Drosophila melanogaster: one gene and its partners. The protein of the gene in region 3 interacts with the protein of the main gene of each other region in a pairwise test. Each region holds a gene or a part of one and is shown on either strand. Other genes may lie near its edges.

Evidence for each region.
Region 1: the proteins of Ald1 (region 3) and CG30122 interact in a two-hybrid assay, tested with the Drosophila melanogaster proteins (one large-scale study listed by BioGRID).
Region 2: the proteins of Ald1 (region 3) and CG13510 interact in a two-hybrid assay, tested with the Drosophila melanogaster proteins (one large-scale study listed by BioGRID).
Region 4: the proteins of Ald1 (region 3) and CG14567 interact in a two-hybrid assay, tested with the Drosophila melanogaster proteins (one large-scale study listed by BioGRID).

What each region holds. Positions count from the first base shown.
Region 1 is NT_033778.4:18,632,676-18,642,267, forward strand, and holds the start of CG30122 (uncharacterized protein), read right to left. Parts: upstream 6,596-9,592; 5' UTR 6,286-6,595; coding exon 6,144-6,285; intron 5,943-6,143; coding exon 5,172-5,942; intron 5,065-5,171; coding exon 4,213-5,064; intron 4,147-4,212; coding exon 3,665-4,146; intron 3,597-3,664; coding exon 3,468-3,596; intron 2,267-3,467; coding exon 2,095-2,266; intron 1,611-2,094; coding exon 751-1,610; intron 689-750; coding exon 517-688; intron 453-516; coding exon 379-452; intron 312-378; coding exon 147-311; 3' UTR 1-146. Other genes in the region: CheA56a (chemosensory protein A 56a), read left to right, coding at 7,519-7,572, 7,639-8,127; Ntan1 (N-terminal amidohydrolase 1), read right to left, coding at 8,772-8,897, 8,960-9,121, 9,184-9,392, 9,457-9,592.
Region 2 is NT_033778.4:22,656,075-22,663,978, reverse strand, and holds CG13510 (uncharacterized protein), read right to left. Parts: upstream 6,079-7,904; 5' UTR 5,991-6,078; coding exon 5,704-5,990; intron 5,057-5,703; coding exon 4,954-5,056; 3' UTR 4,268-4,953; coding exon of another isoform or gene 4,002-4,267; intron 3,944-4,001; coding exon of another isoform or gene 3,841-3,943; 3' UTR 3,429-3,840; coding exon of another isoform or gene 3,118-3,428; intron 2,911-3,117; coding exon of another isoform or gene 2,814-2,910; 3' UTR 2,590-2,813; downstream 1-2,589. Other genes in the region: CG4250 (uncharacterized protein), read right to left, coding at 66-234; CG42565 (uncharacterized protein), read right to left, coding at 2,814-2,910, 3,118-3,428; CG13511 (uncharacterized protein), read right to left, coding at 3,841-3,943, 4,002-4,267; CG43325 (uncharacterized protein), read left to right, coding at 7,001-7,362, 7,515-7,626.
Region 3 is NT_033777.3:26,254,745-26,264,387, forward strand, and holds Ald1 (aldolase 1), read right to left. Parts: upstream 6,848-9,643; 5' UTR 6,592-6,847; exon of another isoform or gene 6,410-6,591; intron 6,370-6,409; exon of another isoform or gene 6,158-6,369; intron 5,092-6,157; exon of another isoform or gene 5,058-5,091; intron 4,470-5,057; exon of another isoform or gene 4,243-4,469; intron 3,536-4,242; exon of another isoform or gene 3,298-3,535; 5' UTR 3,277-3,297; coding exon 2,481-3,276; intron 2,389-2,480; coding exon 2,189-2,388; intron 1,880-2,188; coding exon of another isoform or gene 1,784-1,879; exon of another isoform or gene 1,730-1,783; intron 1,564-1,729; coding exon 1,468-1,563; 3' UTR 1,222-1,467; downstream 1-1,221. UniProt on the Drosophila melanogaster protein: Enzyme of the glycolytic pathway. Glycolysis is essential in glial cells but not in neurons; neurons rely on the citric acid cycle for their energy needs, and on lactate and alanine secreted into the hemolymph by glial cells to fuel it.
Region 4 is NT_037436.4:21,736,437-21,741,657, forward strand, and holds CG14567 (uncharacterized protein), read right to left. Parts: upstream 1,995-5,221; 5' UTR 1,899-1,994; coding exon 1,326-1,898; 3' UTR 1,270-1,325; downstream 1-1,269. Other genes in the region: CG14566 (uncharacterized protein), read right to left, coding at 3,330-3,830; CG14572 (uncharacterized protein), read left to right, coding at 5,141-5,221.

The DNA of each region.
Region 1 (9,592 bases), on a different chromosome or scaffold from region 3:
CTAAACTAAATTAATTTTGTTTTACTGTTCGTTAATCGTTTAAAACTATTATATAAAGTTTAGTTCAGATTTGTGGTTAACTCCTTTCGGGACAACGCAGAGGGGTCTGGGCCTGGTGGAACACGGCTGCATAGTGTTGCTGCATTCTACTTCTTGTCGGCACCCGCATTGGACTGCGTGGAGTACGAATATTGAGACCAGTAATGATTGGCGGCACCGCCATCATTATTGCCAGCGCCGCCGCCGACATTTACGCCTGATCCGCCACTGGCATTCCCAGCCGCTGCTCCGCCAGAGCCCTGCTGCTGCTGCTGTTAAAGAAACAATATCTTTAGTATTCTCGCTTCCAATGACTTTCATAAGACTCCTCCTGCTTACCTGCCACCAGGACATCCACTGTTGTTGCTGCTGCGGATCGGCACTCTGCCAGGCCTGTTGGTTGCCATAACCTGCTGGGAGAATCAACATAACTCGTATAGTCTTCGCCCTTAAGCAGTCGAACACTGCGTCACTTACTCTGCATTTGGTTATAGGCCCAGTATTGTTGCTGGCCCGCCGCTGCTTGCTGAGGTTGTTGGTATTGTTGTGACTGCTGCTGAGTCTGCCAGATGCCCGTTTGTTGATGCTGCGGCGCCTGCTGTTGCTGATGGTGTTGACTGTACGTACTCCACTTGCCGCTAAGGGAGGCCTACAGGAACGATCGAGATCTTAGCCAGCTGTCATGCGTCGAGGATTTGGTCGCACACTTACCTTGCCTCCGCCAGGTGCTCCACCTTGTTGCTTGTACTGATCGTAGCCACCGCCTACAGCGGTGTTATTGCCATACTTGGGTAGCGATTGACCAGCTGACCGCTCATAGCCACCGCGACTATCTTCTTTGGTGTCGCGGTGGCCAGGCCGAAAATCCCGTTGTTGATGAGTACCACCTCCCGAGCGATAGCTACTCTGGCTGCTGCCCCGGTTCCGGTCGTTACTGCCCATTCGACTGCGGTCGTTGCCACGGTCTCGATCGCGATAGTCCCGCGAGCTGCCGTAGCCGCGGTCGTCATACCCACTTCTGCGGTTGTTCTGCATCCAGTTTTGCTGACCACCACCACCACCACCACCACCGCCGCCGCCGCCACCACCACCGCTGCCGCCTGCGTATCCACGGTTGCGATTGTCGTATCCACGACTGCCGCTTCCACCGCCACCATAGCCGCGATCATCGTACCCGCTTCTGCGGCTGTTCTGCACCCAATTTTGCTGGCCACCGCTACCGCTGTTGTAGTTGCGGCGATTGTCGTAGCCACGACTGCCGCCTCCACCACTATTGCTGGAGTAACCGCCACCGCCGCCTCCCCTGCGGGAGTCGCTCCAACGACTTTCGTGCCGCTGGCCGCCATAATCACGACGTCGGTCATCATTGTATCGATTCCGGTTCCGGTCATCACGACGATAGTTGTCGCGACTTCCTCGGGATCTCTTGTCACGCGACCTCTCCGCGTCAATGGCCTTTTTGCCCTTCTCGTTGTACTTCTTGACCTCGCTCTTGGCCTCGTCACCAGTCAGCTCCGTGTAGTTTATATCATCGAACCAGCCAAACTCCAGCGAGGGAAGTGTGAAGTTGGCTGGAAAAAGATTGCGTGTACATCATCAATAAGGCTGCACAATTGCTAAAATCGCTCATTATCATTACAGATTAGGAATTATTGTAGATGGAGTATAGAGGGAAAGAAGGGATCAACTTTGGCAACCGAACGTAAAAGGGCGCAAAAATTTCGATTTTCAAGAAATCCAGTTGTGAATAAAGTCCATCCTTTATACGTTCCAGTTGCCAAGTGGGGGTTGTTATAGAATAAATGTTAATGAATAATGGTAATAATAATAATCAAATTATGAGATATTTTGAAGGGCTTACAGTTACAATTACGTATAGATACATAAAGTGCAGCTGCTTACAAACTAAATACGTTACATAAGTTTTTATAATGTTTTTCATTTTAACAAGAATGCCTCCTTATTTAGATAGGTAGAATAATAAGTTATACGATCGTACATTATTCTGGATTTTTTTTTTCAATTCGTTGCTTTGGTGTGGTGGATAATATTTACCTCGTAAATTATTAATTGTTGATTCTTTAACTGTAAAAGCATTTCCCTTTTCCTCTTTTTCGGCGATGCGACGTTTCAATTCATCTTCGCTGGGTATGCAAACGACCGCAATTCGCTTGAAGTCGTTAAAACCCTTCATTTTACGTCGCTGGGCCGAGGCATACACATTGGTCTACAAGAATACAGTTGGTTGATCGGTTGGTTGGTTGGTGTTGTTTGGTTGAATTGGGTTCAGATTTTGTCTGCCAGTTGTTGTTTGGTTGGATTTGGTTTGGTTGTTGTTGGGACAGTCGTCGAACTTGAGAAACACGTTGATGATACGGCTCGGTTGGAGACCTCGGTCTACCGGGATCGAACCCAACTCGCATTGAGCTCGCTTGCTTTCAGCGCTTATAATCTAACACATACCTGTTGCACGGCGGGACACCCACTTCCCGCCCACACTCCGCCGGCAAGGGAGCGGGGCCTTACGGAAGCGGTGCGCGCACACCAACATAATACCTAGGGGGCGGCGACGGGTTAATGTTAACCCGGCCACATCTAACAACAGTTGACTTAATACTTTGCATAAGGATAACAGAATGTACTATGGGGGAAAAGTAGTCGCGGTTGGCTGTGCTGCTGGCTGTAGGATGAAGCATCGCATAGCTTTCTGTAGATACACATACATATATATGAGAATAGTTGGCATTTAGAGAGAGAGATAGAGTAGAGATAGTAGGTACTAATACGTATATGTGATTAGATTGTAGGCGAACGACTCGTCGATCGGATTTGTGTTTGTCTACTTACAGTGGCATCCATGCCGCTCGCTCCTCCTCCTCCTCCTTCTTCCATACTTTACTTCACTCCATTCCATTACACTCACTCATCTTTCTCCAATGCCATTTCCATATCCATATCCACTTCCATCCCCACTTTTCTTACAATTCCCTCTTAACTGCCCCGTCAACTGTTGCGCCTGCACGTAAAACTTAAGCTAATGGGAAGTCCACAGATACTTACTGCCTCAAACTTAAGCACTCTAATTATCGGATCGACTTACAATTAGGACATACCTGCACGTTGGTGCCCCTTCTAGGGGCACTTGGGCACTCTATTAAGTTAGAGCGATGAGCAAAAAAAAAATGCATACTCAAATGTACAATTAAAAAATATATAGCGCAACATTGCTGTGCCCCGCTGGTGGAACCCCTCAATCCCGAGGGGATCAGAGCCCCAGTGTGTTGGGTGGGCGCCAAAGTCATCATCAACGTATAATTCTCGCTTGTTTCGTTTTGTGTTTGGTTATCGTTCGTTCATAGTGTAATCTTGTGTGTTTGTGGGCTGGTGTTTTGTTTCGGGTGTATGTAGGTCATTTGTTAATGGTTTACCTGATCAAGTATGAAATTTCGACGCCGCTTCATGGCAATATCTTCCAGAGCCGCCAAGCTATTTAAGCATATCTCGTACACCTTGTCCCATCGACCTTTGTGCACAGTCTTGCGAGAGGCGCCATCGATCTGCAAATATATTGGTCAGTACTGAATATCTTCAGCGCCTAGCTATGTACATTTATTAACCAACTTACTGTCATCTTTGAAATGAATGCGTCGGGTCCAATCAACTCGTAACGCTTGTCAGCATTCTCGGCCACATGCTTATGGGCCCAATGGGTCTTTCCGGCTCCTGGCAAGCCAACCAGTAAAATGACTTCGCACTCCTTGCGAGATCCGACGCGTTGTGGACCGGAAACCAGCTTTTCGACAGGTACTAAGCCGATCAATACATAGCCTTCCAGCAGGGCAGCTGTATCCCTTGGCTCGGGCACGACATCCTCGTACTCATCTTCGGTCGTCTGCGACCTGTCCTTTTCCTTTTCGGATTCAGCCTTTTCCGAATCTCCATCGGTTTTGGGTCGCTTGTTCGGCGAGGGGCCATCCTCATCTTCTTCATCATTGTTTTCGGAGGGTTTCTTATCCTCAGATGCCTTTTCATCGTTTGCCTGTTCTGCAGCAGCATCACCATTTGACACAGCTGCAGTTTCTGACGACTTTTCGGTAGAAGTTTCAGCTAAAAGGAAAACCCAAAATATTAGCATTTTGTGGGATAACTGATTTTCAATCAATCATTACTCACCAGTTTCCGAAGCCTCGGTAGCTTCTGATTCGGGCTTAGCAGCTTCAGCAGGAGCCTCGACTTTAGTTTCGGCTTCTGTTTCCGTTTTTGGCGCCGCCTCATCCTCTTTGGCTTTTTCAGGATCTTCGGCTTCCTCTTCATCTTTCTCCGAAGAAGCCTTGCCATCTTCATCCTTTTTCTCCACCTCATCATCATCCGCCGTGGCTTCGTCCAAGACCTTCCACTTCTCGCCATCGTTGTCATCCTTATCGTCGTCCTTATCCTTGTCTTCGTCTTTACGTGGCTTGCGGCGCTTGCGCGTGGGCCTCTCGGCATTCACCAACAGCTGCTCGGTGTCAGAGAAATTCACTAAGTATTCGTAGCCCTTGGTAACGATGTGCGGAAACAGGGCTCCCTCCTCGCCCAGTATGCTCTTCTCAAACTCGAACGCAACTCCAAGATCCTCGCCGTTCAGAGTGTAGTTAATTGTGCACGGCTCACTTTCCAGATCTAAATAGCAGCCGATAACGTCATCCAGCTGGTAAGGCTTGCCGTAATCGGTAAACTCGCTCTGAGTAGCCTTACGCCCGGTCTCGCAATAGCCAAATGAATGCTCGGCCTCGCCTAGCAACAAGGAGCTCTTGGGCATTGAAAATCCCACGCGGAATCCTCGCACATGCGGCTCATCGCGGAAGTAGTGCGAGTTCTCCGGCACCGACTCCTCGGAAAGGCGCACCTCAAAGCACACTTTGCCTTCGCGCACTCCGTAGTTTGCGCGGGCTCCGGACCAAATAAGCGAGTAAATTTCCGATGTCAGGGGTTTGGCCGATGCAAACGTGGTTGGGTCGATGCGTAAATGCAAGTCAGAGTCCACTGGAATATAAAAACAAAGGGATATTAGTTACTGTGAATGATGGATCAAGCTTTGAACGTTAAGGAATGTGTGTATCGAATTCGTTGCAAACAGCAAGTCTACTTACGCCAGCTCAATCCGACTTTGTTCTCCTCGATGGTTGGCTCGTCCTCAGGAACTGTGCGTTCCTCGGCCGCTGCCTTTGACTCACGCTTGTCACCTACGCTGCCGCGATGTTTGGACGAGCGGGAGCCACTGCGCGATCGGGATTTGGACCGACTGTGTGATCGCTTGCGGCGTTCCGGGGGCTGATCCTCAGGCTTAGCTGCTGGCTCGGTCTCCTCCGCCGTTTTCGGGGCGGCCGAATCCTCCTCATCAACGTCCATTTTCTGGCTGTCGCCATTTGACTGATGCTCGGCCACAGTGCTCTCGGCTGGTTTCTCCTCTACAGGCTCCTCAGTTTGTGTAGGTTCCTGCTCCTCAGGGGCAGCATCATGATCCTCTTCCATGGGTTCATCAGCCACTTCATTCTGTGGTACGACGGCGGGTACTGCCTCTTCGATTGTCTCCTGCTTGTCGTCTGTCTCCGACTTTTCATCAAACTCTTCGGGCTCAGGCTGCGACTCCTCATTGACCGCTTGGTTGACGGTTGTGTCCTCTGTCACTGCTGCAGCTGGCTCAGCTTCCTCCGGCTCACTTTGTTCTGGTTCCGGCTCGGCTGCTGGCTGTTCACTTTCTGGTTCTGGCTGTGGCACTGTCTTATCCTCCGGCTGCTCCTCCTCTTCGAGAGTATCGAGCACTGGTTCTGCGGCCACGGGAGCAGCTTGCACCGGCGATGGAGAGCGGGACATAGAGCGCGTGCGACGCTGACGGCGGCTTGGTGTGACCGGCGCATTTTCTGGACGCGGGAAAAGTGAAATGTGATTACTTTATCATTATATAAGGAAAACTTACAACTAACTCACGCTCAGTCGCACACAAACAGAAACCGAAACACAAGCATGACTTGGACGCGGCAAAGCACACGCACACAGTGACACCCACACACATACACACTGGAACAATCGGGCGGTCAAATGACGCATACACACAAACTTACCACCGTCGCCGGCTCCTCCTTCCACATATGCCCTCAGGCGCTCGACGAGCACCGCTTTGACTCCTTTGGTGTCCAGGCCGCGCGACTGGAGCTCGTTGCGCAGGTCCACCACCTTCATCTTCTCCAGCTTCGCCACATCCATTCTTGCGCTTCAATTTGGATTGGCGGCAGAAACACACACGCTTATTCACTCAATGTGCACCGCTGAAAAGCTGGCGATGTGAAAAACTGAATTGGGGGAATTTCGGGCCAAATCACGCTGTCTGGCAAATGACACCCACACTGGAAATGTCACCGTAGTCAAGTCGCAATGGTTGCTAGCACCGTGCGCGCACAATTAAAACGCAATATTCGTTTTTACATTCGCATTTGTTGCGAATAAATAAATGGACCTAAATATTATACCGAACGCGTTGAAGTGAAGTTGGCTGCGATTGGGAAAACGAAAACGTAGAGCTACCGTGCTTGGGTTCGATACTTGTGCTTGGTGGCTATCGATAACAGGCTGAACATCACTAGCGATAGAAGGCGCTTGTGTGCATCAACCGTTTGCATGTGCGCTGCAAGAAAATATTTAATGATTGAATGATTTGTAGTAAATACTATATCAATAAAAATTAATAGGCAAAGTCAATGTTTATTTCAAAACATAATTAATAGTATTAAAACCTGCATAACAAAGTGTTTTTCGTAAATTGACTTTAGGTATAATGGCTGTTTGGCACAGGCATTAACAACGACTCCGTGGCGCAACGGTAGCGCGTCCGACTCCAGATCGGAAGGTTGCGTGTTCAAATCACGTCGGGGTCAAGCAATTGATGTTTTTTTTTCATTATTTTTAGTTTGCAAACTATATAAAATAAATACGAATTTAAGATTTCAAAAAAAAAAAACAGTATACAAAATTTGCATCGGCCGGGAATCGAACCCGGGCCGCCCGCGTGGCAGGCGAGCATTCTACCACTGAACCACCGATGCTTAAATACTAGATGTCTTACCTTCAATATAAGCTTGGATTGCAAATCCATTGGGTCATTTCTATAAATTGCTAAAATAGTTTAAGGTTGATTAATAAAATGTAATGCTGAAATAAAACTAACTTAATACGCAGCGTTGCTAATATACTTATTACGAAAAACTGCATGTTTTTTATATTATACCATTTTCCTAACTTGTTATAACATCCTAACTTCCTAACTTTTGTAACATCGATTGTGGCCATGCCCCTTCAGCAGAACAAGTGCTCATTAACACTCACTTATAATTAAATTTGAAATATATTTTATCGACATGCCATACTCATGTCGCTATAAAATCTATAAGTTAAAGATGCACAATCCAAAATTTCGCAATTGGAGCGTTTAAATTCAGGAATATGTCTTTTTGGTGGATGATACAAAGCCTTTTGATCCTGTGGACAGTGTCAGTGGTAAGAATAAATAAAATAATCAATAAAGAAATTTGTGGCAATAATATATTTATTTTTAATTTTTAGGGATCAAAAAAAAGCAACTATGAAGTCCGCTTTGAGTCGATAGATGCCGTAAAAGGAAGTACCGAAACCCTTTTTCTATACCAGCTACGATTGCTCGGTAGAAACCGCATGATAAATGGAACTCTTATTTTCTTAGAAGACTTGGACGAAACGTTCGACGTCCTTTTCGAATCCCACGCATTTAAAAATGGATATTGGGTCAAGGGAATCGTGAACGCCGCCGCCAGCAAACCCTGCGAATTTTTCAATCGCTACTACATTTCCTTTTTCCTAGTAAAATCGACCGAATCGAATTTACCCACTACCGGTGCTGAAATGTGTCCTTTTCGAAAGGGTACATATTTTGTGAAAAACGGCGTTGTTTCTACCGAAGATTGGCCACCCATTGTCTTTAAAGGTCTTAACAGATTCACCATTTCGTATCTAAAAAATGGCGAATGTGTTGGTGGAGTTCAGTTAACAATTAGTATAGCAGAAATCATCACATAGTCTTAAAAATTTATAATACCACGAAAAAATATATGGCATAAATGAAAACTCAATTATTTCTCTGTGTGTGTGTGTATGTATAGCCAAGCCATTTTTATATATTTTTCTTCTTACATTTTTGATTACAGTTTATAGTTACAGCTAAAATGATTGCATTCGAAATTGTTTCGTTTCGTTTACACGGAATATGCGCATATATATTTAGCTAAGAATCTCTTTTAAATAGTAATAGGTTCTTTAATGGGGTTCACATAAATATTTACATGCACATTTGCACATAGAATTGTAATAATTATTTATCGTTATATATCGCTTTTACGTTCCCAGTTCAGATCCATTTCTAAGGCTCGTCCCAAGCAACCGTCTCCAGCGTCGGAACTCAATCTTGTATCTAATTGAAGAGAGATTATGTATGTCGCATTCATCAATTGCTATTGCTAATCGGCCGATAATTACAGCAGATACAAATTAATCAGGAAATCAATGACAATTACAGCCGAATACAATCAACTTAACGATCAAAACTTAAACAAAAGGCAAGCAGAAGCATTTGCGGTGGACAGCGACAATTAACACATGCACCAGTCAATTAACACATCTGCGACATTTTCGAACTGCGTAACAACTAAACACTAAAATAAGCTTTAATATCTAACCAGCACCCAGAAGCCCGTGGCGTCATCCCGCCGGAAGTAGCGCGGCCGATTGTCCCTGAAAACGGTGACGGCGGGGAACTGATTCTCCTGTATAAACCTAATGGTGGCACGCGTCTGCAATTAAAAAAAAACTTATGTGTCTGCACAGAAACATATAGTATATAGTATATGCATACCTGAGGCGCAAAGTGAGGCGGCTCCACGTCTGGACTGGAGGACAGGTGCTGCAACAGAAACTCATCCGTTTGTGATAGCCACAGATCAGCGCCGCGCAAAGGATCGTAGTTAAAGGGTCCAATGCGTAGCATGCCCAGCGAGGAGTCGTATATATCCAGAACCTATGAAGCACAGCCAAGTGATTAGCAGGTTAACTCATTGGGAAATTTTGGCCTTTACTTACCGACTGCGCGCCCATGAAGATGCGAGCATCGCGTAGCTCCCGGTCGGGTCCTCGGTCTGGAAAGGAGGCCGGAAAGATCTCACCAGTCTTGATGTTCACGCCCACTCCATAGATGATGGGGCAGTTGATCTCGCCGCGCATCATGGTATTTAGCTCGCCCACGCAAGCCTGCGTCAGATCGATTTCAAGTAGGTGATTGTGGAATGATTCTGAGAAAAATGATAAATGAAATTCATATAAGAACTAAAACACGCAGCTTAGAAATGAACTCACGCATAATGCTGAAGAATACGTCCTCGCCGTATCCCTTGGCATCGCGATAGCCACCAATCAACTGCAACTCGATGCGACCCTCCGGATAGCCGACGGCCAGCTCCTGAACCCGCGACACCATGGTGCACACAGCCTC
Region 2 (7,904 bases), on a different chromosome or scaffold from region 3:
CACGATTGGATTTCGTATAATATGCGATATTATATTTTATGTTTGAATTGCACAGAAGAATTGACCATTATTTCCGATTGATTCATAGTTCTCTGTATTCTCACCCTGCAATATCACTCCCTGTCCCTGATGGAGCTGAGGATAGACCTGCTGCGGTGCGCTATCATAACTGGGCGGTGCCTGGAAACCCGGAGCCTGAGGCTGCATATTCTCGTATTGAAAGTTCTTCTCCATTCTAATTATTCCGACCGATGTGTGCTACGCGTTTGAATTGCCGACAGCGACTGAAACCGCAGAGAGCTCCTCCAACATTGCTCGGCGAACTTTCGAGTTGCGGCGCGATGCGAATTCTATATAGCCCTACTATGTCGGATGGCTTGCTAAGCGATTTCCGTTAAATATTATGTGGCTATCAGAATAAGGGCTTTTACATGAGTAAGTGTTCTTTTTTTTTTGCAGGATGAAAAGCTTTAGTAAGAAATTGCTCAGCCATGATGAATTAATTAATATCAAAACTTACCAATAAAACAGAAATGTTAGCACTTAGTAGGGTATTCCATTGTCAGGTAAACAAACCAGTAGCTTTTACCCTTCCGAAATGGTCCTTCCAGCTATGCTATTAGCACGTATATAACAACAATTTGCATATTTATTGAAAACATAAGAAATACTCAACTCTGCTCAAGAATTGCGTTGTCTCTAAAACAAATCAACCCCCAGGTAAAATCCACTCGTTTCTTCCTTGAACCCTTTTATTGGTGTGCTGAAGAATACATATGCCGGCACTACAATGATTTGTTTTGTTATCAAAATAGTGCGTAGTAATAAATGTGAGAGAGTTAAAAATAGATCAAGTGGGGATAAGTAATGGGGGCTGCATTTCGGCACGGCTGCTGGCTGCAGTCCACGACAAAAAAAAAAAAACAACTTCCGGCGGAAGTTGCTCAGCGCTCGTAGGTGCCAATGTAGGCGTTGCAAGATGGACAGTGGTGGTCGGAGTTCCGGGCGCATTGAGTGCAGTACAGGCAGCAAGCAGGGCCAAAGGCTGCACGAAAGAGATCACTCAATGAGAATGCACCCAGAATGTTAAGAAATCAATATCGAACATGGCTTACAAGGTAAGGCACATAATCAATGCTATCAGGTGAGTCTTGGTGGTGGCTTTCGGCTCCACACGAGTGGTAACCTGTTGACGGCAACTGGGGCAGACCACGATGCACGGTTCCGGGCCAACGGAAGTGGACATTTCGATGGCGGAGCTGCAGAAAGAAAGCACAGGAAACTCTAATAACTCTCATATTGATTGCAGCGCAGACCTTGAAAACTTGAATACGTCGCGTGCCGCTGGTGCATGAGCATTAAATTGGCTGGTTAATGGGGATTTTAATTGCACACCCGCCATGCAAAACAAGCTGTAATCCGCCTTATCTCCCGTCGATGGCACCACGGTGCTGCGCAATCCCTCCTGCCGCCGTGAGGTCATCCTCGTGGGCCACGGAATCTCTTGTGCCATGTGGCAAGCTTCGTGCCGACGCCGTCATCGCACAACCGCGTGTGTCTGAGCCCCGCTCAACCCCGATTCCATCCATCATCTTTGCTCGTCGTTTGGTGCAACTTGCTTGCTCGGTCTGGTCCTATCCAAAATCAACACAATCTATTTATGTATGTTCTCACTAGCGCAAACCACCCAGCACAGTATCCTTATTTAACAGCGGGTGTGTCCGTCGCCAGTGATTAACATTCCCCCCGAAATCCTACTGTCGTCCTGTATGTCTTTGCTGAGTTCTCCCCCAAGCAAAAGTAAATTTTTTGGGGAGCGGCAAAGCAGCGGTAAACATCTAAACAACCAGATATTACCCAATTAGACCTGACTATAATAGTCCGTTGCTCATGTTTGACCCAATCCTAGGCTTGCATAATATATCTCTCCCGTCATACTTACAATCTGTATGGGTGGGTACGTTGTCAAAATAAATAAAGTAGAATTCCGATTTCACAGAGAGACAAAAAGTTAATGCGCACTGTTTGGGCTGCGAAAGTGTTGTGCGGTCAGAAGTTTAGGGCGCGAAGCGGGACACTACACTTCCAAAAGTATTTCCGTTAGCAACATTATGTTGCCTAACTGGGAAGTGATATTTATATACATCCTTAAAATTGATTACAGCGTATCCCTAGGCTGAGTTAAATTAAAATCCTTTTATTCCATTTCTTAAGAACTAAACATTTAGCAGAAATTCAAATATTTTACTAAATATTCAATTATAATGCAAAGAACTTCAGTGATTTCATTTAATAGCATGAACAGTAATCTTGAAGCATCTTAGCATCAATTTAAACTGTGCCAACATGCCGGTTCGTCCCAGCAACATTTTACCGGTTCAAAACAGTTTCATATCAACATTTATTGCTGGACACAAAAGAGTTGTGCTACGAAAAAGTTTCGGGAAAAGACCGCCAAAAAGTACACAAAAACAAAAAAAAAAAACGTATGAACAATTAAGTTTCACATTATTTTTTCTGCAAATCTAGTTGTCTGCAGCAACAATGTAGCCAGATACCCAGAAACAGAAATTAAAGAAAATTCCATTCGCTTCAAAATCTATTTGTTTATTTTTTCGCTGTCAGCTTATTTTGCTCACTAAGCAAACATATTTTTATGTATGTTAAGTGATGAAGACACCACATTGACGCCGTCGATACATAAGGAGATATGAACATACATACATATATGTATGTATAGTTGGTTATGTATATATATATACATATATATAAAATGAAATGATATGAAATCGGCGAGTGTTTTCGCTGCGTCTTCAAAACGAACCCAAGCAGGAGTTGCAGTTGGGACAGTACTGGGAGGTCTTGTAGCAACAGTTGCAGCAGCAAGGGGCGCAGACGCAGGGCCAGCATCTGGTGGATAGAGATGGGAAATAGAGTATATAGCTTATAAGGCACGATCAGCAATTTCTCATAGCTTGTCCAGGAAGAAGCAAAACAATTGCGGCCACAGATATAGCAGACTAGTAAAAACATTTCTTTTTCCGTTTGCTTACATACACATTATGTATGTACAAACCTTTGTTGCTATACTTGCAACCATAAATGCGATCTACTTACAGGAATAGGCAGAGCAACGCCGCCATACAGTAAGTTGATCCGGTAGGATGGTGCTCCACGCGAAGGCGAATCCGAGCGTTGCAGTGGGGACAGATCGTTCCCTGGCGGGTATTGTCCACCAGCACTGTCGTCTGGTGATGCATCACGCTTACGGGCTGCAACACCGGCATGGTTTGGGCCATCACGGGTATCACCGGATTGGGATGTGCGGGCGACGCCAGGTTCTGCTGCATGACGTCCTCCGCTGGAGGAGCGGTGGCGAATGGATCCGAGTAGGGCGGCGGGGAGTCTACGCGCTTGTAGCAACGCATGCTTTTCTATACTCTTCAAATCACACTAAAAATATCAACCAGTTGCTTACAGCTGCGAACGAGCACTGATATAATACTGAAAGCTTCCGTATATGTATATCGATGACAGTTTCATTAAACTCAGAACTGCCTTATCGGTATCGGTATTCAATTGATTCGCTTTCCTCATATTCTGGGTATTTATCCTAATACGAATATAAAATCTATCTACTGGCACACTAGGTGAGGAAATTATGGACCAGAAAAGATTACTTCATATGTGCAGTGAGAGTAGTAGAAACCATCCGTCATTAACAAAAAGAACTTAAATTTAAAACGTTATTATTTTATGTATCTGTATACATATATGGCTAATCTTGATTAAGTCTTGACATGGAAGGCATTTTTGGCAGTGCGGAGACACAGCACTTGATCAAATGCTATAGCTCCCAATGTGGCATCCACAGTTGGGACAGTAGTGCTGGACACTCTTGCAGTAGTTGATGAAGTAGGGAAGGCAGATGAAGGGCCAGCAGCTGGAGAATCAGGTTAGCAAAGTTAGTAAGCCCGGTGGTATCCTGACGCCCCACTCACCAGCAGATATACAAGGTCAGAGCGCACATGTGGGTCTTGCGGGTGGGGGACGTGGCCAGACTGGTGGTGACCTCGCCCCTGCAGGACGGACACCTCACCCTCATCGGCTTGCAGCCCACAGCCAGTGGATGTGCGCCCGGCCCCACTCCGTTCAGGGTGTAGACGGGTATCTGGGTCACCACCACCCCATAGTTTGGCTGCGTGGTTACGGTCACCATTTCCGTGTCGGCCGGTTCTGGAGCTCTGCCCATCCATGTGCTGCTCATGTTTGCGGCGGGGCATGCACTGAAATAGCCCGCCATTTAATGACAACATTGCTCTATCGCAATCGTTATCTTTTCTGACTAATCGACAAGTACTTTTTAGGTGAAACCTACTATGACTATGACGATATGGAGGGGTACAAGAGGAGTCGGCCAGTGCAGTACCTAATCGATTGACATTCGGTTCCAGTAGCTCTGTGCCATTTGGCCATTTCCAGTTGTTGGCTTGAGTAGGTGCCAGAAGGGTTTATGTTTCCTAGACAACAATTGATATAGTCTTAGCTATTTATGATATTTATGATCCATTTTACTGATTACGGTTTTTAAGCGATAGTAAAAAGTAAAAAGATTGTTTTAAAATGGTCATTAAAATGTTGGCGTTGGTTTCTCGTAATGATCGATCGAAATTGTTTAGTACCAGTACAAAATGTAGTGGAAAATACTAAATAATGTCAACATTATCATAGACATTTCTGAAAATATTAAATTACTTCATAATCCATTTAGCGGAAAGAGTGCCTTGTCCCAAGATATCTTGTCGCATTTCTGTTTCCTGTGTGAGTCTCATGAGTTTAATGTGTGGCGTTCGTACATGTGTATTTACAGTTCAATTTTTCTCGGTTATGACGCTAGTGCTTAGGGTTCTCTATAGGTATATACGTTTGTATGCATAAATAGGCGTTAGTTAGTTAGTTCTCGTAGGTGCCGATGTAGGCGCTGCAGTTGGGGCAGTAGTGGTTGGCATTCTGGCAGGAGTCCATGCAGTAAGGTAGGCATACGCACGGCCAGCAGCTGTGTGGATAGAGTGGAAAACGAATCGATTAGATAAGTTCGGGGAATTAAACTATTAGTCAGAGCACTAATTCCGAATTGGCCTTTACGACGTCTACAGGCCGTAATCAGTCAGTTTGCTTGCTTTCACCCCGTCTTTCCACTCGGATTCGTTATCTGACTCAACTCCAGTTCCAGTTGAGATAACAATGTTTTCACATATTACCAGTACACACAGTCGCAATACCTGTAGAAACCTATTGTTTTTTCCAAGCGATAAGGGGCCGCAAGTGGTTCATGGGCGTAGCTTTTTAACATTTAACCGAGCTATTGTAACGAGTTGGCAATAAAATGGTTATAGAACATTTCTGCTTGGGCGATACGAAAACATATCTAGATTGTTAGGATATCATCTATAGGATATCATATCATCTATGTATATTACTGAATTTAATAGGCAACATATCCGATTTGTATTGCTTTTAAAAATGGTTTACTCCATTTTGCGCAATTTTATAAAAAGGTCATTTGACTGGATTAATGAAGCACTAAGTCCCCCCTAAGATACTTTCGTTGGCCCAAAGCTCCTGAGACCAATCAACATACATACATACATATGGTGGCAAGCAGTGACTTCAGATCAGATGACTAGTGACTATAAGACTCACATGAACAGGCACAGGATGAGGGCCCAGCAGTGCGTCCTGCCGGAAGGAGTGGACTTCACGGTGGTCAGTACTTCGGCGTGACAGGAGGGACAGCGGATGCGGGTGGGTCCACTGCCGATGGGCACCAGGTTGGAGGTTGTGGTGGTCTGGATGATCACCGTTGAGGACTGCGGTGGCTGCGGCATCGGTGGGTACAGTGGTGGCTGGGTGGGGCCACCGGGCTGATAGGTTTGTGCGGGAGTGTATCCGGACTGTTCACTGTACGGTGGAGGCTGCTTGCTGTCCATAGTTTCGGATTATGTTTCTTCTTGATGCAGACTCTGGATTTCCGGCCGAACTGAACCGATCGCTTTGCTGGCTGGCGTTGCACTGAGGAACGAACTTAAACTGTGGCTCCCGCAATACCTCAACGATTGGCTACTATCTTATCGTCGAGAGGTGATAGCTACCATACAAGTGGGGTTTCTGTCGAACTAATAATCGGATACCTCTTTTATTGTGCACTTGATTTAGTGAGCTACAGCGATGCTTCTCCTCCGAATAGGCGACAGATGAGTCACTTGTTTGATAACACCTTTATTGCATATAAAGGCAATGAATAAGGCCAAAATATACATATGTAACATTTAGTACGTGTATTTTGCGAGGAGAGAGTATAAACAAACACAGGTTGTCGACTCGAGTGCTCTCGCCATAATATAATATTTTTGTAATTTACCAAATGCGTGACCGGTTTATATATATGTACATATGTAGATATGATTCTTTGCCAGTTGAAGCATCATCATTCCATTTGTGAAGCCTTTATTTTTTTTAATTATTTATTGGATATTGGATATTAATGTGTAACTTGCTTAATTTGTGATTAAAAATAATATATATATTTTCCGTGCTTGATACTATTTCCTGAAAAACCTTATGAAATGTCTTAATTATTCAAGTCAAAATAAAAACAGACTTCGATCTTCAATGGGTTAAGATAACTGTGTATATTTTTTATAGAAAAAGCTCCATTTACCACCCACTCGCCGGCAGCTTTGTGGAAGCTTTCCTCATGGGATCTACGTTCAAGTGCAGCCGTTAACATCGCAACCATGAAAATAGTGTTAGGCAAATACGGGGGCTTGACAAACAGATGAACAACTGGTTTGTCTAACTCCCCCCTCAGCCCAAAAAATATAATAATAAATCCCCCTCGCCAAGCGATAGCTGTTTGACTTATGTTTCTTATGTTTCAATTGTAAAATAACCCAATTTATAGGCAAATAGAAAACCCGAGTCGAGTCAGTTCAACAACATGAGCCGTCAGCTAAAGTTCCACCTTCAAGCTCCCGACGACGAGGAGTTCGCAGCGGATCTGGTGGAGATTAACCTGAACCCCAACTGCGGCCAGGTCAAGCAGAAGTCGGCTCAGGCCTTGGACCAGCTGCTCCTGGCCACGCCCCCACACAGAGGCTATCCCTACGGCTATGCCGAGGACTCCGAGCCGGATACCTACTTCTGCCGGAAGAGCAACTCCACAGGCCAACTGGCCGAGAAGGTATCACCTCCGCCGCCCGCTGCCACCAACATTAGTTGCCTCCGCCAGATGTACTGTCCGGAGTGCCACGAGCGATTGCACGAGCAGGGAGTCCGCCTGGAGCGACTCCTTACCATGTGGTGAGTGCAAGGCCAGGACATTTCTTTAAAGTAAATTCTTAGGATGGAATATAAATAAGATTATTTAATCGTAGTATAGGGCTATTAGGATAATAACAAAGATCGGAAGTATTTATATTTCTAATTCAGATTATTTCCTTATCCATTTCCAGCTGCTTTGCCCTGCTGCCCATCTATCCCTGCTGCCCGAGGCGCTCCACCAACGATTGCAAGGTCATCTGCGGCAAGTGTGGTTACCTCTTGGGGGCATGGAAAAGACAGTGAGATGAAGGGATGGGGGTCGTGGGTTGGGGCAAACGGAGTGGGTGCTCCGCTTATAATTGTTTGTTTTGTTTAGTTTTTAAGCACTTTTTGTTGACCTTGCGGCGAGTGATGAGCGCTGCTGAGACTGAAGAGCCGAGTGCCAAAAAATTGTTGATTGCTGCATGATTCTCTCAGTGGTTTCTCTTCAATTAGATCTCTTTGGTCAGATAGATCTCTTTTTCGAATTTCACTGCCTCGGGATTCGCCAAAATGTTTAGCACTTGACGCCGGCCAGTCGC
Region 3 (9,643 bases):
AGTTTAATAATAATAATAATGGTAAAACATCGATTTTCATAGTGGATCTTTTTATAAAACATTAAAAAAATTCAAAAAACGTTGTGCGACTTCAATGTTACAAGCCTCATACATTTAGGTGTTGCTGATAGTGATTGCTGTTGTTTTCACCATAAAATGTGCTTTAGCCTAGCGATTTACGACATATCCTTTTGTTTTCATTGAAATCTTGCATAATCATAATAATAGAATAGAAATGTAATAACTTCAACAATAATAGGTTCATGTGCTTAAAACTAAAGATAAAATTGTTTGAATTGTTGAATTGTTTCTCCATCGAACATATTCAATCCTTTCTTCTGCACTCATCATTTAGTTGTTCTCTAAAATAATGTTATAATATAATAAACTTGCAAAAATGTCACGTACTACATATATATAACATGTTTTGAAAGTGTAATCGTTCATCTTTTTTTTTTTGGTTATTTTTTGTAATGCTTGCTTTGCTTAGCTCTCGAAACTAAGGTAAAAATAAACAAATCTGCCAAACTTTTCCAGCAATCTGCTTCGTATTTTTTTTTTTTGTAGTAACGTGTAGCCAAGGTCCAACCAAACGCCTTAGTAGGCGTGGTTGGCCACGAACAGGGATCCAGATCCGGCACCAGCGCTGCCGGCAACGTACTTGCCCTGAGCAGCATCACCGTTGGCCTGGGGGAGGGTAAAGAAAGCGGGGAAAATTGATTAATTTCGTTGTGAGAAATGCCTACTCCTAATTATTACTTAGTTGTAACTTGGCGAGCCGCAGCAAAAAAGTTTTTCGGCCAGCATGAAAAAGTTTTCACACTGATTTTTGCTGCGCTCGAAGAACTTCCGCCACTTTTTCCACCTGCGGCAATTTTCTAAAAACTTTCCACGCATCCAAGCGCACGAATACATGCTGCGTACTGCGGAAAGTTTTGGAAAATTTAATCTTGCAAGTTCTTTGGAGGAAAATTATGATTCGATTAAATATATGTAACAGCTCTCCGAACGAATTTTACGTTGTTTTCAACTTAACTGTCAGGTACAGATATTCCGAATTATTATTCTAATTAACAGTAGGAAGTTTGCAAAGGGCTTTCATGAATAAAGTTAGACAAGACATTTTTAATTAAAATGTATTTAAATTAAATTAAAAGGTAAAATAAAATCGAATTTTTGTTTAAAGCTAACTAAAGTAAACAAAATCATAAGCAAGGTATTATTAGAAATATATAATTTATTTCTGTTCGCCAAAAATATTTTCTTTAAGGTCTAGTCAGTTTATTCGGTAAAATGTAAAAATGTATAAAAGGAATATATTTGCAGTTCCATTGTTGGAGGAATATAAATGTTGCCCGTCTCACTCCAGCTGGGCCTCGATCAGTAACTCTTGCGGATTATCTGGATTCGGCTTGGGATATAGCTTCGCTCGATTGTGACTCGGGATTAGTGCGTGGCATTTAGGACTTAGTATTTGTGCTGGGCGACAAAGAGGTTGGCATTGCCGGCAAACGACGGAATTGAGCCGGGCACGTAAATACCCTGACAGGCCTGGGAATTGGCCTGTGGAAGCGGGAGGAGAGCGGGATTTTGGTTGGGATTAATCAGATTTTGGGCTTTTGTGGATTAGGTTTAGAGCAAGCGAAGCATGAGTGGCACGAGGACAGTATGTTAAAGGCGTTTGCGATAAGTCGGATTTGGTGAAAGGCGGCTATGATTCTTAAGTTACCCCATGAAAGCTTGTTCATCGCCATCTTAAGGCAGCAATTCTTCAATCCTTTGATCAATACCTGTGGTCATCCACATGCAAAGTATCTTTTCCAGCGAACCCCTTAACCGATCCAGCTGTATAGTTACCACAAGCCGCCTCTCCGTTAGCCTAGGCATGATTAATGTGTGGTTATTGATGATGAAATTAATGTCTCACGTACAAAAGCAAAAAAAGGTTACAAATAATGGTAGGGAAATGAAAGGGATAAGATTAGAGGATTAGAAGAACATTGTGGTCATTTGGGATTGGAAATGGAATCAATGGCTGGGAATATGCTGTATGTTATATTATACATGTATAATATTTCTTAGCCCAAGGAATACTTCCGAAGCATATACCTGACACTCTTAATACATTCACCACTTAAATTGCTAACTGCAATCAATCGTGCATAGATACAACTATCCAAGGACTCACCTTGGCGCGCTTAAGCAGCTCGTTCTGGCCGGCAGCAATGTTCTCCTTCTTGCCAGCCCAGGCACGCAGGACGGAGGCCTGCAGGGCACGACCGTACGAGAAGGTGAGGGCCCATGGGCGGATCAAGGGAACGTTGTTGATGGCACTCAGGTTGACGGTGGCCTCCTCCTCGGACTGACCTCCAGACAGGAAGGTCACGCCTGTAGACAAACAATCGATTAGATAGGATTCATTGCAAAAACAAGGTGAATGCATTCCAATCCAGAGATTACAGTTGGATTTGATGACTCACCAGTAACGGCGGCGGGAACGGTGCGGCGCAGAGCCTGCACGGTGGCCAGGGCGATCTCCTCGGGGGTGTTCTTCTTGGCCGACTGACCGGCGGTGACCATGTTGGGCTTCAGCAGAGTACCCTCCAGGTAGACGTGGTGGTCGCTCAGGGCCTTGTAGACGGCGGCCAGGACGGTCTCGGTGACCTTCTGGGCGCGGTCCAGATCGTGATCGCCATCGGGCAGAACCTCGGGCTCCACAATTGGGACGATGCGCTGCGACTGGCAGATGGAGGCGTAGCGGGCCAGGACATTGGCGTTCTCCAGGATCGACTGGTAGGATGGGGTGTTCTTGCCGATCTTCAGGACGCAACGCCACTTGGCGAAGTCGCAACCGTCCTTCTTGTACTGGGCGCAACGGGCGGCCAGGTCATCCAGACCCTGGGTGGTGACCTCATCCTCAGAGCCGAACAGTGGGACAACACCCTTGTCGACCTTGATGCCCAGAATGATTCCCTTCTTCTTCAGGATCTCGGCGAAGGGGGTGCCATCATCGGCCTTCTGGTAGAGGGTCTCGTGGAACAGGATCACTCCAGAGATGTTCTCGGCCAGCTTGGGGTCAGTGCTGAACAACAGCTGACGGTAGGCACGGCGGTTGTCCTCGGTGTTCTCCACGCCGATGTCCTGCAGACGCTTGCCCATGGTTGGGCCGGACTCATCGGCGGCGAGGATTCCCTTGCCGGGGGCAACGATTTTCTGGGCGATTTCGCGCAGCTCATCCTGCAGCTCCTTGCTGGGGTAGTTGAAGTAGGTCGTCATTTTTGAGATTCGAGTGTAGTTCTGCAGCACGAAGATCCATTTACGTTTGATTTGGTGTGGTGTTATTTTGTTGGATGAAAAAGAGTAGCGGACATTGTGTTTTAATAAGCTAGCTATCGAATTCCGCAGCGGCGCGGATGATTGGAAACCATTGCGTAAGCACAGAATTTTGAAATATTTCGAGGTAAAAAATAAAACTAAAAATTTGGACTAAAATTTCGTATACGATCCGCACAGTCTGACAACCAAAATCAAGTAACTCAAAGTTACATATGTTCCTACTGAAAAAGATAACAACGGCTACAGAGATAGCTATCAATCAAGTGTTGGATTATTTTACTGAACTGACCTAATTATTATTTCCATAAAATAAAAAGAATATTTGTAAAGGTCAAGTTATTTAAAGTGGAACTCTGAGTTAACCGATTAGAGCCATTGAGTCATATGCTGTTGTTTAATGATGCGGTATTATATAATTTTGTTTTCAGTGTCAGGTCAATGTCACTGGTGTTTTTTCCAATTTAAAAATATTTTTCCATTGAAGATAATAAATGCTTTGCATGGTAGTGTATTTCACAGCTGATTCGATGGCAAAGAGCGGGTGATTGAATGAGATTAAAGGCGCATGCACGGAAAACGTGCTTTTCTCTATATCTGCAGCTCTTCGCTCTCTCTCTCTCACATTTTTTTTTTTCTAGGTTTGTCCTACACTCTCAACATTCACATATAAAATGTTGCCTTTTAATAGAGCTTTTTTAGAGGTTCTCACAAACATCAATGAAAATTCACATTTTAGAAAAATCCTCTTGGATTGTACTATACAAAGTTGGAAAAGTATCACTGCACTTTTTGGAATGAAATATTATATAGTGTCTTATTTTATAGTGTCTGTAATTTGCTAAAAACTATTTGCAAAAACCGAACAATTGTTTTAAGCTTAGATCACAAAGAAAAATCCGAACCAACCTCGACGATGATGTTTTTGTAACTGAGCAAAGTCACGGAAACCTCGGCAATAATTCCCTCTGATGTAATCAAAGTCATGGAATCTTGTGTCTCACTCTAACCGAATGCAGCTGTCTTCTTCACACCCGCATAATGCGTGACGTGGTAACTTTCACTTTTATTGCCGCTGCTGCTGCGCTGTTCCTGCAGGCAGCGACGCCAACGCAGGGCGCATGAATTTTCGCTTGACATTGAACAAGGTCAAGCAACAAGCCTTAGCAACAAATGTTGCCAGCGAAATTTGTTGCTTACGAAATGCGAATAGAAATTGTTGAAAACCGAAAGTCGTGTGGCGCGTGTGAAGTGCGATAGAGATAGCTAGTGTCCAGCAATATGTAGATACAGATACGAAGTCATCTGCGATGACTAAAAACCCATTTTATACTTGTTTGACATTGACAGTGAGCCAAGGACTGGGAATGGCATAAATGTCAGGTTAAGAGATTAGACCTCCGCAACTTATCGCGAAATATTGTTTACCACATCGACCCCACATTTCCCACGCCATATATTTAACACTTTGTACACGCGTGAATAGCTTGTGGTTCCTAAGAACAGATAGATATTATAAAAGCTTGATATATGCATATATTAAAAATACTGCACAGTTTAAGAATATATTAATATATCTCTAGAATACAAATCATTTTTTCATCTATTAATTTCTAAACAGTTATCTAAACACACTTCACAGAACGACACTAGATATGTATGTACACCCTTATCTATAGAATTATCTATAGATGTTGCGGATTCACTCAGCAGACAACACCCACCTACACTTGCCGGCAATCAATCGAAGACTGAAATGTTTCGAAAACTAGGCGAAATATATACGATGACAAAAAAGAAAGAGGAACGAAGAGCAGCCAACGCATGACAACAAAAAACAATCAAAATAAATTTACGTTCCTATCAAGAGACCGTTTATAAAAATAAACCGCCACATGTCCGTCTATATGTATTCGTGAGCTTGCTATCAGTGAAAATTTTGAATCGAAAACGACGAAAAAACGAGCCCCCAGTTGCGTTTTAGTTCCAAAGGTTTTGCATTATCATAACGAGATTTTAGGTCCGGCCTCCTTGAACGCAGACAGTGGGTCAAAAGAACATCCAACAGTTGAGATAATACTACTACTACTACTACGAACTGACGTCAACTGATTAGCCGTAAACATGGGTGGTAATAATTGTATACTTGTCTGAAAATAGGAAACTTCGAGCACTCCCATACTTCTATCTATGCCCTTATTATGTGACCCCAAAAACTTTGTTGTGGTAACTGTTTACTAGATAAGCCAATGTACCTTATCTAGTCTTATTTCATCGATTAGCTTATACTTTACAATGAGAATGTATACCTATAATTCCATTATATTCATTATAAAATTTCCCAAAGCTTGATATAAACGATCAAAGGAACATAAATTGGTTGTTTTAAATGTTCAAAACTCTTCTTAAAAATCCTAATCAGGTTGATCTTGAAAGGAAGTCCTTTGGAGTACCAAAACTTGTTTTCTGTAGGTTTCAAAACAACCCTTAAACTTCTGCCCCTCTTTTCTCATGTACTCTCTACAAACTATCGGTAAAATGTTTGCTCTCCTTCATTCACTGAAATCTCAATTAAATGGTAGGTATAAAATGCAATAGACAAAAGCATATTGCGTCTATCATGAGAAGACGTCAACAATCTGATGAATTTACGATGACGTTGGCTAATTGAAGTCTAAGCGAGAGAGCGATGGGAAAGTATACATATGTATATCGCGATGTATAGTACATACATTTAACATTTGCGCCAACTATTTATAAAGAAAAACCGCAGCGGCGACTACAAATTGCAGTTGAAAGCCTGCCAACAAGCAAATGAACTCGAATGAAAGAGCGGATGAAAAGTAAGAGAGCCGGTTGAGCCGGTAGAGAAAACTACTACTCACGAAAGTGAGCCAAAAGTCACCCGATAAGGCTTCTTATCGCCTGCAGTTCGCGTAGCCCCCCCACTCCTTCAACCGCGGTGCATAGGTCAACAACACTCGAGAGCCTCGAGGTTCTAGAACTTGTCATAAAAGTGGCGAGCACGCGGAAATGGTAAGATTAGAGAATAATTAAACTATATTCGAATACGCACTCACTAACACTAACACGCCTACAGATTCGCTGCTGCTCTGTAGATTTGGATTACGAAACACCCAGAGAAATGGGAACGATTACGCGACTTTTCAACTGCACTGCCGCCAATGGGGGGAAAAATATCTGAATTTTTTTTAAGGGGCTCAGGGGTTCTGTTCACTGCGTATGACGCCCACTCACCGAACTGGAAACTGAATCTGGGATGTGGTGATTAGCTGCTGGCTACTGGCTGGGTCCGCTGCTGCTGCTGCACTGGAGGAGAGCGGTTAACGCTTTTATTTTCGGCCCGTGTCGCTGCTACTGCCGCTGCCGATGCCTCTGCTACCGCTGACTGCGGCGTCAACGTGAAATTCCAAAGCGAAATAAGCGAGACATGCCGAGCGAGACCCCAAAAGGTTGTTTGGAGGTCGTCGCCGACGGTGTTGGGCAACCGACTGAGCCAAGCGCTTTAAATTCCCAGATCCCCAAACGAAAGGTATCCAAAATAAAGCTCATTCTGGGAGCTTTTAGTGGGGGATGGAACCTAACAGATAAGCTGTAAAACTTATTAGACAGCTTTGAGAAGCTTTAGCTTTCGTTTGGGCGGTAAAAATTTAAATGAAATGTGCTCAAAGCGTATTAACATAATAAATAATTTATCTTAAGATCTCAAACACTATACGATATATATTGAAATAGTATTGAAATGTTAAAAACAATAAAGTGCCACAAACTTAATGTCGCGTCTTGCTGGATATAGTCATCCCAAATCATCCTCATCAAGTGAACTATATGTCTTGCCAAGCTTTCTTGCCCAAAACTATAAAAAAGCATTAAAAATGAAGTGTTATCTTTGCAAGTATTTGTATCTTTTAACCTGTCAACAACATTTCCTATTCTACTTATGCATTGAAAAGAGGGTAGAATAATTAATTTGGTGTATTTTAACCTTAATTACGAGCGACCTGCTTTACTTGGGGCGGTCAATGAATTTTTCGTGACCATCAGCATCAGGCGCTCCAGCGGCAGCGCAACAAAAACGAGGGGTGCCAGAAGCAGCAGCTAGGATAAGCGACTTTCACGCCATGCCTGACCTCCTGCAATGTTAAAGGACTCAACCCCCTGGCACTGGAAACAGCTGATTGAGAGCGCAAACTTTGAGAAAATATCCCCCTATTCTGCCATACAATCTGTTCGAGCGAAAGAGAAAATCGTTTCGCTCTTTAAAATGTCCTAATATGACTTTGGCACAGTTTTCTGAATGAAAAGAATGACTGTGGAACGGGTTATAACATTTAAAGGATTTTAGATATTTCATAGACTATCTATGCTTAGGTTTCTTTAGTTAAAGTGATACAGTTGCTAGATATATATGAAATAATATGCTTACCTAATGAAGGAACCTTAGCCACAGTGCTCTTCATTGTCCTCGCTCTCTTTGTGCCTCGTGGCTTCGTCCTTCGTCCTGTTTCGGTTCTCGTGCCTGCCTCACTCGCTTCCCATTTTCGTTTGGGGATTCTGGTTCAGTTTTCAGTTCGAATTCGTGCGTCGGTCGGTCGAGTTGTGTGCCAAACGCTCGGCACCTGTCGCCCAACACGTGTTGCGTTCCACTTGCGCTGCGCGTCTCCTTCGCACACCCGCGTACACCGCGGCGTATACGCTACGTACTGTGGTGCAGCCAAAGCGAAATAATTTCTGATTATTCTAGTTATGTGAACCGAAAGTGGAGTGCATAAGAGTCTGAAATTCAAGCACCAGCTGTGTTTTAACTCATATTAAATTAAAGAGGAGATACGAAAAAGAGGAGTGAATTTGTGGTTCAGAAGAATGATAAATTGTTTTCCCAGTTTTGGTAAGAAACGATTTGGTTCGATTTGGTATACTCATTAAAAGTTGATGTAGATCAGATTATAAAGTATCTTTCAAAAAACTACAGAAAAATGTTCATTTCTAAAACTAATATTGATGGAACCCTTTTTTTTGCTTTACAATAAATGGCAAGATTAAAGATTAGGGCAAAATAGCTAGAAAAGTTTTTGATCAACTATAGTTAGGTTATACTATATTTCTATTTATCTAGTCTTTTTGTTAAAGGACATTTGAAATAGTTTTTTCTTAAATTCCATTTTTCTTCTTATAAGAGTTCACGAAAACCAAAAGAATGTGTGCAACAAAGAATGCAAAATAGTTTTCCCGGGGCTTGCTGAGTATTCAGCATACATACCAATATGGGTTTCGTATGCAGATTTCTGCCAGCCAGAGTCATAATATTGAGCAATTGATGAGAGCGCGTTTAGCTTGGCTTTGTGGCACTTGGCTCATTAATATGCGGAAGGCGACACAAAACACTCCCCCACGCCTCCACCCACACATATACAAACACACGCACACACACACAGGGAAAAGCCTCCCCTTCCCTAAACTTGTGTCTGTGTTTTGTCTCGTCCTCATCTGCATTTGCCCAAAATGAGAATGAGTATCCCATAACCGACTGAACAGCATCCTGCTTGCTGATGATAATGTTGATTCCTGCCTTCCGCAACAATTTGCTTTGAACCTAATCCGCCCCTTTTTCTGCCACGCCCCAGTAGCTATAGCTTAACCAAAATTCGAAATTCATACCAGTCTCCGGCTCACATTTCACTAGCTTTTGTTGCGGCATTTATAAATGCTTGTTACCTTTTCCTCTTTTCATTTTTAGTCTTGGTCGGAACAAAGTGTTTATGGTCTCTGGCAGTTTGAATTTTGTATCTTTGTTCAGGAATCCCTCTTGAAATGATACAAATTGCGTTTTCCTATTATTCGTCAGCCTAGATTTGCAAAGCTATTTGGAGATTGAGTTCAATTAAATAGAGAACGTCATTCAATGGAGCAGTATCCGATATGAAATGAAAATGTAGGCATTGCAAACTAATTACTTTTTACTCGATGGGTAAACATTTTTGATTGAAAAATTGTGGATAAAATCTTAAGCATACAAATTCCCAAAAATAGATGTTTCTATTCGAGAATACATATATTGGCTTGTTAGTTTTAAAAACAAATTCAATCGGATGACAACTTAAATGTCTGTACTAAAAAATACTATGTGCGAGTGCTATGTCCAGCATGTTTAAAACAAAAACTGCTCAATAATTTGACATCTGCTAGGCCATTTTTTCTCAAATTTCTTATGGTATTTCGCAACATATGTCGTTTTATTTTGGGTCAACCAATTCTTTTGAGGGATTCATTTGTTTCTTACGCGTGCAAT
Region 4 (5,221 bases), on a different chromosome or scaffold from region 3:
TAATATCCTGTTGCGAAGTAAAGGCTCTTCAAATCTTGTACATTTTAAAATGTTTGGGCTCCTTTAATCACCTCCCCAATTGTATTACACTTATTCAGCCAATAACCTGCACCATTTTTTAGGCTACTCATTCCTTTAACACATACCAATATTACATGGTTTTTTCTTAACCTAACCAAGTACTGCAAGTAACACTTATCCCACAGTCGCAGCATCCTCCTTATTTGAACACAAGTTTGTTTCTTTCTATTTTAATGAACATCAAATTTATAGTAAACATTTAAAAGTAATGAAGTGTCTCTATGCGCACAAAGTTGTGAATTTGCATCCAAATAGGGAATTAATTTACATTCTATTGTGGACGTAGTGGTTGTGGGGGTGACCATGGGCGAATCCCAGAAATAACACATTTCTGAAATTTGATTTTGCAATTCTTTTATCACACAGGTTTATATTTTATAACCTTACTTTGTAAACGAAAATCATTTCGATGTATATAAGTACAATATGAAAAAACGCTATAGTCAAGTTGCCCGAATGTCAGATACCCATTACTCAGCTTGTCGACGAGCGAACGAGAAATTTCAACATTTTTCTGGCATCAATATTGGAAAATATTAAAAAAAAAAATAATACAATTTCAACATTTTTCACAAGTGTGGGTATAACAGTTTGAAGCGTTTTGTGGGGGAATAGACACGCCCCTTTGTCTATTATGATGTGGTATACCGATATAAAATACAATAAAATAGAAAAATCAAAACCCTTTTTAAAAGCGTTTAACTTTCATACGAACGAACAGACTGACGTGGCCAGATCGACTTGGTTAGTGATTCTGTTCAAGAATATATATACATCATATGGTCGGAAATACTTCGTTTTACCTGATACATACTCTCTTCGAGTCTAGTACACCCGTAGAGTAACTAAGAGCTTTCTAGCTTAAATTGTTTCTGAGATCACATCACTGCGGCTGCTGTATATACACGAAGAAATTAAAATCTGATTTGATTGTTCGATCTGAACGAGGGAAAAAATATATGGATTGAGAGTACTTGACTTTTTTAAAAAGTCGAACGACTATGTTTCTGTTTGGTAATATGTAATGTTTAGCTTGTAGATTATTTCTTTTAAGGTGATCAAAGCCTACTGTTGTTAACTAATTTTCAAGCCATCAATCTTATCAACTTTGAGTTGTTTCCCTTATCGTCACCTATAAACACAAATCTTGCTTTTCATTATATAAAATAAATAGGTAATTCTATATTTAAATTCGCACATATTTGAGTAAGTAAAAATCTCATTGTTGTTATTAATTTCAATAGTTAACCGCGGAAGAAAGATGCCCGCGTCTCCAGGCCACCCACATTCGGTCTCGAGCTATTCCGATGGGCCTCAATGGCCTGGTAATTAATGAACCAGAAGGGCTGCTGCTCCACGGGCAGCTGACTCAAGTGGTTGACCCACTCGCGGTCACCATGGGCATCGATGGGCAGCTGGTTGAAAACGGGGGCCACTGATGTTGCGGGTCTTCCGGCTGTGGAACTGGTGGGCTGCGTTGTGAACTGTGGACTGTCCTCTGCTCCAAATCGGTTGGCCACTGTGGGAGCCGCCTCCGCAGCAGACCCACTTATTGGCAGTACTAGGGGAACTCCAATCGGCGGCTTCTGGGAGGCTCCAAACGGTAGATTGACTAGAGCTGGCCTCTGCGAACTGGATGGCTCTCCAAATCTCGTAGCTATGTCCACTCCGGTGATATTCTCGACGGCTGTGTTTTGAGTTGCGTGGTACTTGTCCTTCTGACTTAGTCCACCTGGTGGCCTCAATCCCGCAAAGGAGGGCCGTTGGGCTCGAATATTTTCCAACAAAGTCATGGCAATGATGGCCACGGCAAACATTCGTCTCAACATTGTTGCAATGAAAATTTCACTTTCTGCACGCGTTTCTCCGGCAGCTTTACTCGAAGTAATCCGGTCTGATCTTCTACGACAACTGAGTACAGGCGGCTGGGAAGATCATTTAAATAAGCTTTGGCTCTCTGCTCCACAGCAGCTTTTCTTCAAATCAAACGAGTTGCACAGAAAGAAAAATTTATTATTATAAATTGCGTTTTTAAAGTATCCAAGCTAAATATGAATTTCACTTCGTATATCAAGGGAAGGCAAATAAAAAGTGAAGGCATTTTTAATAGTGGTTAAAAAGACGTATATATGTGAAACTGCATAGTTTCTTTTCGGTGTATACTATAGTAATGACTTTTAATGCGACTAATTAAATGTTCAATCTTGTAGTAGTTGTATTGTGAAGATATAGGTATAGGTGCTTTATTGTCGAAGGGAATAATTCCTTAACTTCCTTACTTTGTGATGTGTAATGTGCTTATCTTAATGGCGAAAAATACTCTTGCTTCGACCCTTGACAATTCGCGAACATTTCAAATTTGAAAATGCAATTAAATGAATCATTGAATTTGGTGATTATGTGTGCTGGAATATAGTTATTCTTCCGGATAATTCCTAGAGAACTTTTCCTCATAACTTTTGTTTTGAACTTTTTGTCATATTTATGATTCCATAAGTGCAGTTAATGTTCTTAATGTTGTAATTATTCTTTTTACCGTGCTGGAAACCATTTTAACGTGCAGTTTTTATTTGAATTTCTTGTTATCATGTTTCTATAAGAAAAAATAATTTGTTTTTCATTATCTCTCTTTTGAAACCTCTGAATTTTTTCCCACACTGATTACCCAGACTGCCCTGGATCGAGTTCAAGATTAGAGTATTTATTTTTCACTCGGAGCTCAGACTGCCGTATTTCTTGTTTTTTTTTTTTGCGGTCGGGGCAATCCCAAATTCGTCACCAGTTTGCGAAGCGTGCGTTCCCAAACCGGTTCCAGGTCTTCCCCTTTACCCACTCTCTCGGTGACCAATAGCTTCTTGATCAAGTTGGCTGAAAATTGGCTTTTGGACGCGTCTAGGAAAGTTTCTTTCCCGTCTGTACCGAAGTGATTCACTGGTATGACTGCCAAAAGAAGTTCGTTTTATCTCGAAACCAGATTTATTTGCATTATATTATAATCGGATGTGTGATTTTTTTATGTGTAGAGTGTGGGATCAGGTGAAAAAGAATTTCTGTGTGTGTTTTTGTCGTCATCGTGGCTGGTTGGATCGTCATGGGTTTTTGTTTTGAGTTGGCTGCTGGAATTGCAAGCAAAATAGAAAGAAATATTTAAAGGATCTTCTATATGGTTAATCATTTCATTGTTTATTGTTTTTTTGGTGTTCAAAAGTTATTCTTGATGAGTTCTCAAAGCCTTACCTGATTTTCACTTAGAAGCGTCGCACGGTGGAGCGGGCAGCACTCAATTTGGCCGGACGAGCTGCGGCGGAAAGTGGACGGCGATAGGCCACGGGCTTAGCTACTCTCCGGTAGTTGGCGGCCCTCCTGGCAGCTACCAAACGGGCCTGCTGCTCCGCCGGAATGTCGGCGGCAGCGGGCAGATCGTTTCCGGTCACGTCCGGTGGGCCGTAGACCTCGTCGGGAACGCTGTTAGGAGCAGCATCGGGCGGTCCATAGACGGCATCCGGTGTGGGCCCGGCGGCCGAGGGAGCAGCAGCCTCGTCGAAGGGCACTTCCGGCTTCAGCTCATCTGCCGAGGGATAGGGTGTGACGGCATCCGGATCAGCTGCGTCAGCGGGAGCCAGCTCCTGCCGAGCGGAGTACCTCGAACGTCCGCGGCTTAGGCGCTGCGAATAGCGCTGTTGCTGGGCTTGGGAAACGGCCAACAGGCTGAGGGCTGCAGCAATAAGGATAACCTGGAGCTTTGCCATGGTGGAGATTGATGGATTCAAGTGTATCTGTGGGAAGGCTGAACCAACGACTGATGACTGGAAGAGCCTCCATGGGCGCTTTTATAGGTAGGACTTGGATGGGCACCTGTTTAGTGTGCGGCGCGTGGACCCAGCGTGGGCATCCTTTTTTGGACCTACGGTCTGACGTCGGCACTCCACTATGGTCTTGGTTACCCACGATCGGCGGTGTCTGCGGCGTCTTTATGCGCCCACGACGTGACCAGAAATAGGAAGCAGATGTAGATGTCCGAGGTTTCGCCAGAAATCAGTCCAAAATCTGAGAGTGTCTCCACCTCGATTAAACCAATCGGTCAACATTAAAACGCTCTTAATGTGATGGACGGTGAAATTAATGGCTAGTCGTAAATTTTGGAGCGAAGTTAAAGGATATTGGTTAAATGGAAGCGGACAAAAATCTATTTTAGTCCAATGCCCGAAGCCTTGAAATATTTAAAACTTATGTTGTACTGAATTTAATTATGGCACCTAAAAGCCATTTATTATATAAATAATATATTTTATAGTTAGAATCACCCTCATACTCAACTTAGATAACTTATTGGTTTAAAAAAATCAAACGATTTAAGACTTGCTGACAATATTGACAAATTTGTATAAAGTAAAACAAATTTGTAGTTGAAGTAATTTCTTAAATGCAATTTAAAACTAATTTGTATATATTTTTGCTTGCACCTATTATTTACATTTAACCATCCTCACTTTATTTCATGTAATGATAGTTCAGGACGTGACATAAAACAATCGTTTGGGGAACGGGCTTGGTGACCTTGGCGGTCACCTCAACGCCAAATCGTTGATCGCATAAATATTGATTATAAGTGTTTAATCAAAAATTCTAACGCTCAAGCTGACAATTTCAGCATAATGCAATTGACAACAGTTCACTCCGTTTTCGCTTTCAACTGGCTGGGGATTGGATTGCGTGTCACGTACGAAACGCATTTAATTTTCAAAGAACATGGCGAATCGGACGTGGACATCGGACACCAGTTGGCATTTGGAGACCGGTGATAATGTGGACGATGTGGGCGATATGGGCGCTATGGTGGAGATATGAGCTGGCAGCGGACGTGGTTTTGTCGGCGGAGACCAGAAACAAACAAAAGGCTATGCAAATAAATCATTAAGTGTGCGCCTAATCGATGTCGTGTCGATATAGAAGCTTCATGTCATTATTCCCCTGGATCGAGAACTCTGTATAAAAGTATCGCTCACAATCGTACGTAGATCAGTTGGGTCTAAATTCGGGCCGAGATCGAAAGTCCAACATGCAGTCCATTCTACCCGTTATCCTTTGCCTTTGGGCCCTTAGTCCCGTCCAGATCGAAGCGCGTCAGGTCAGGATCAAC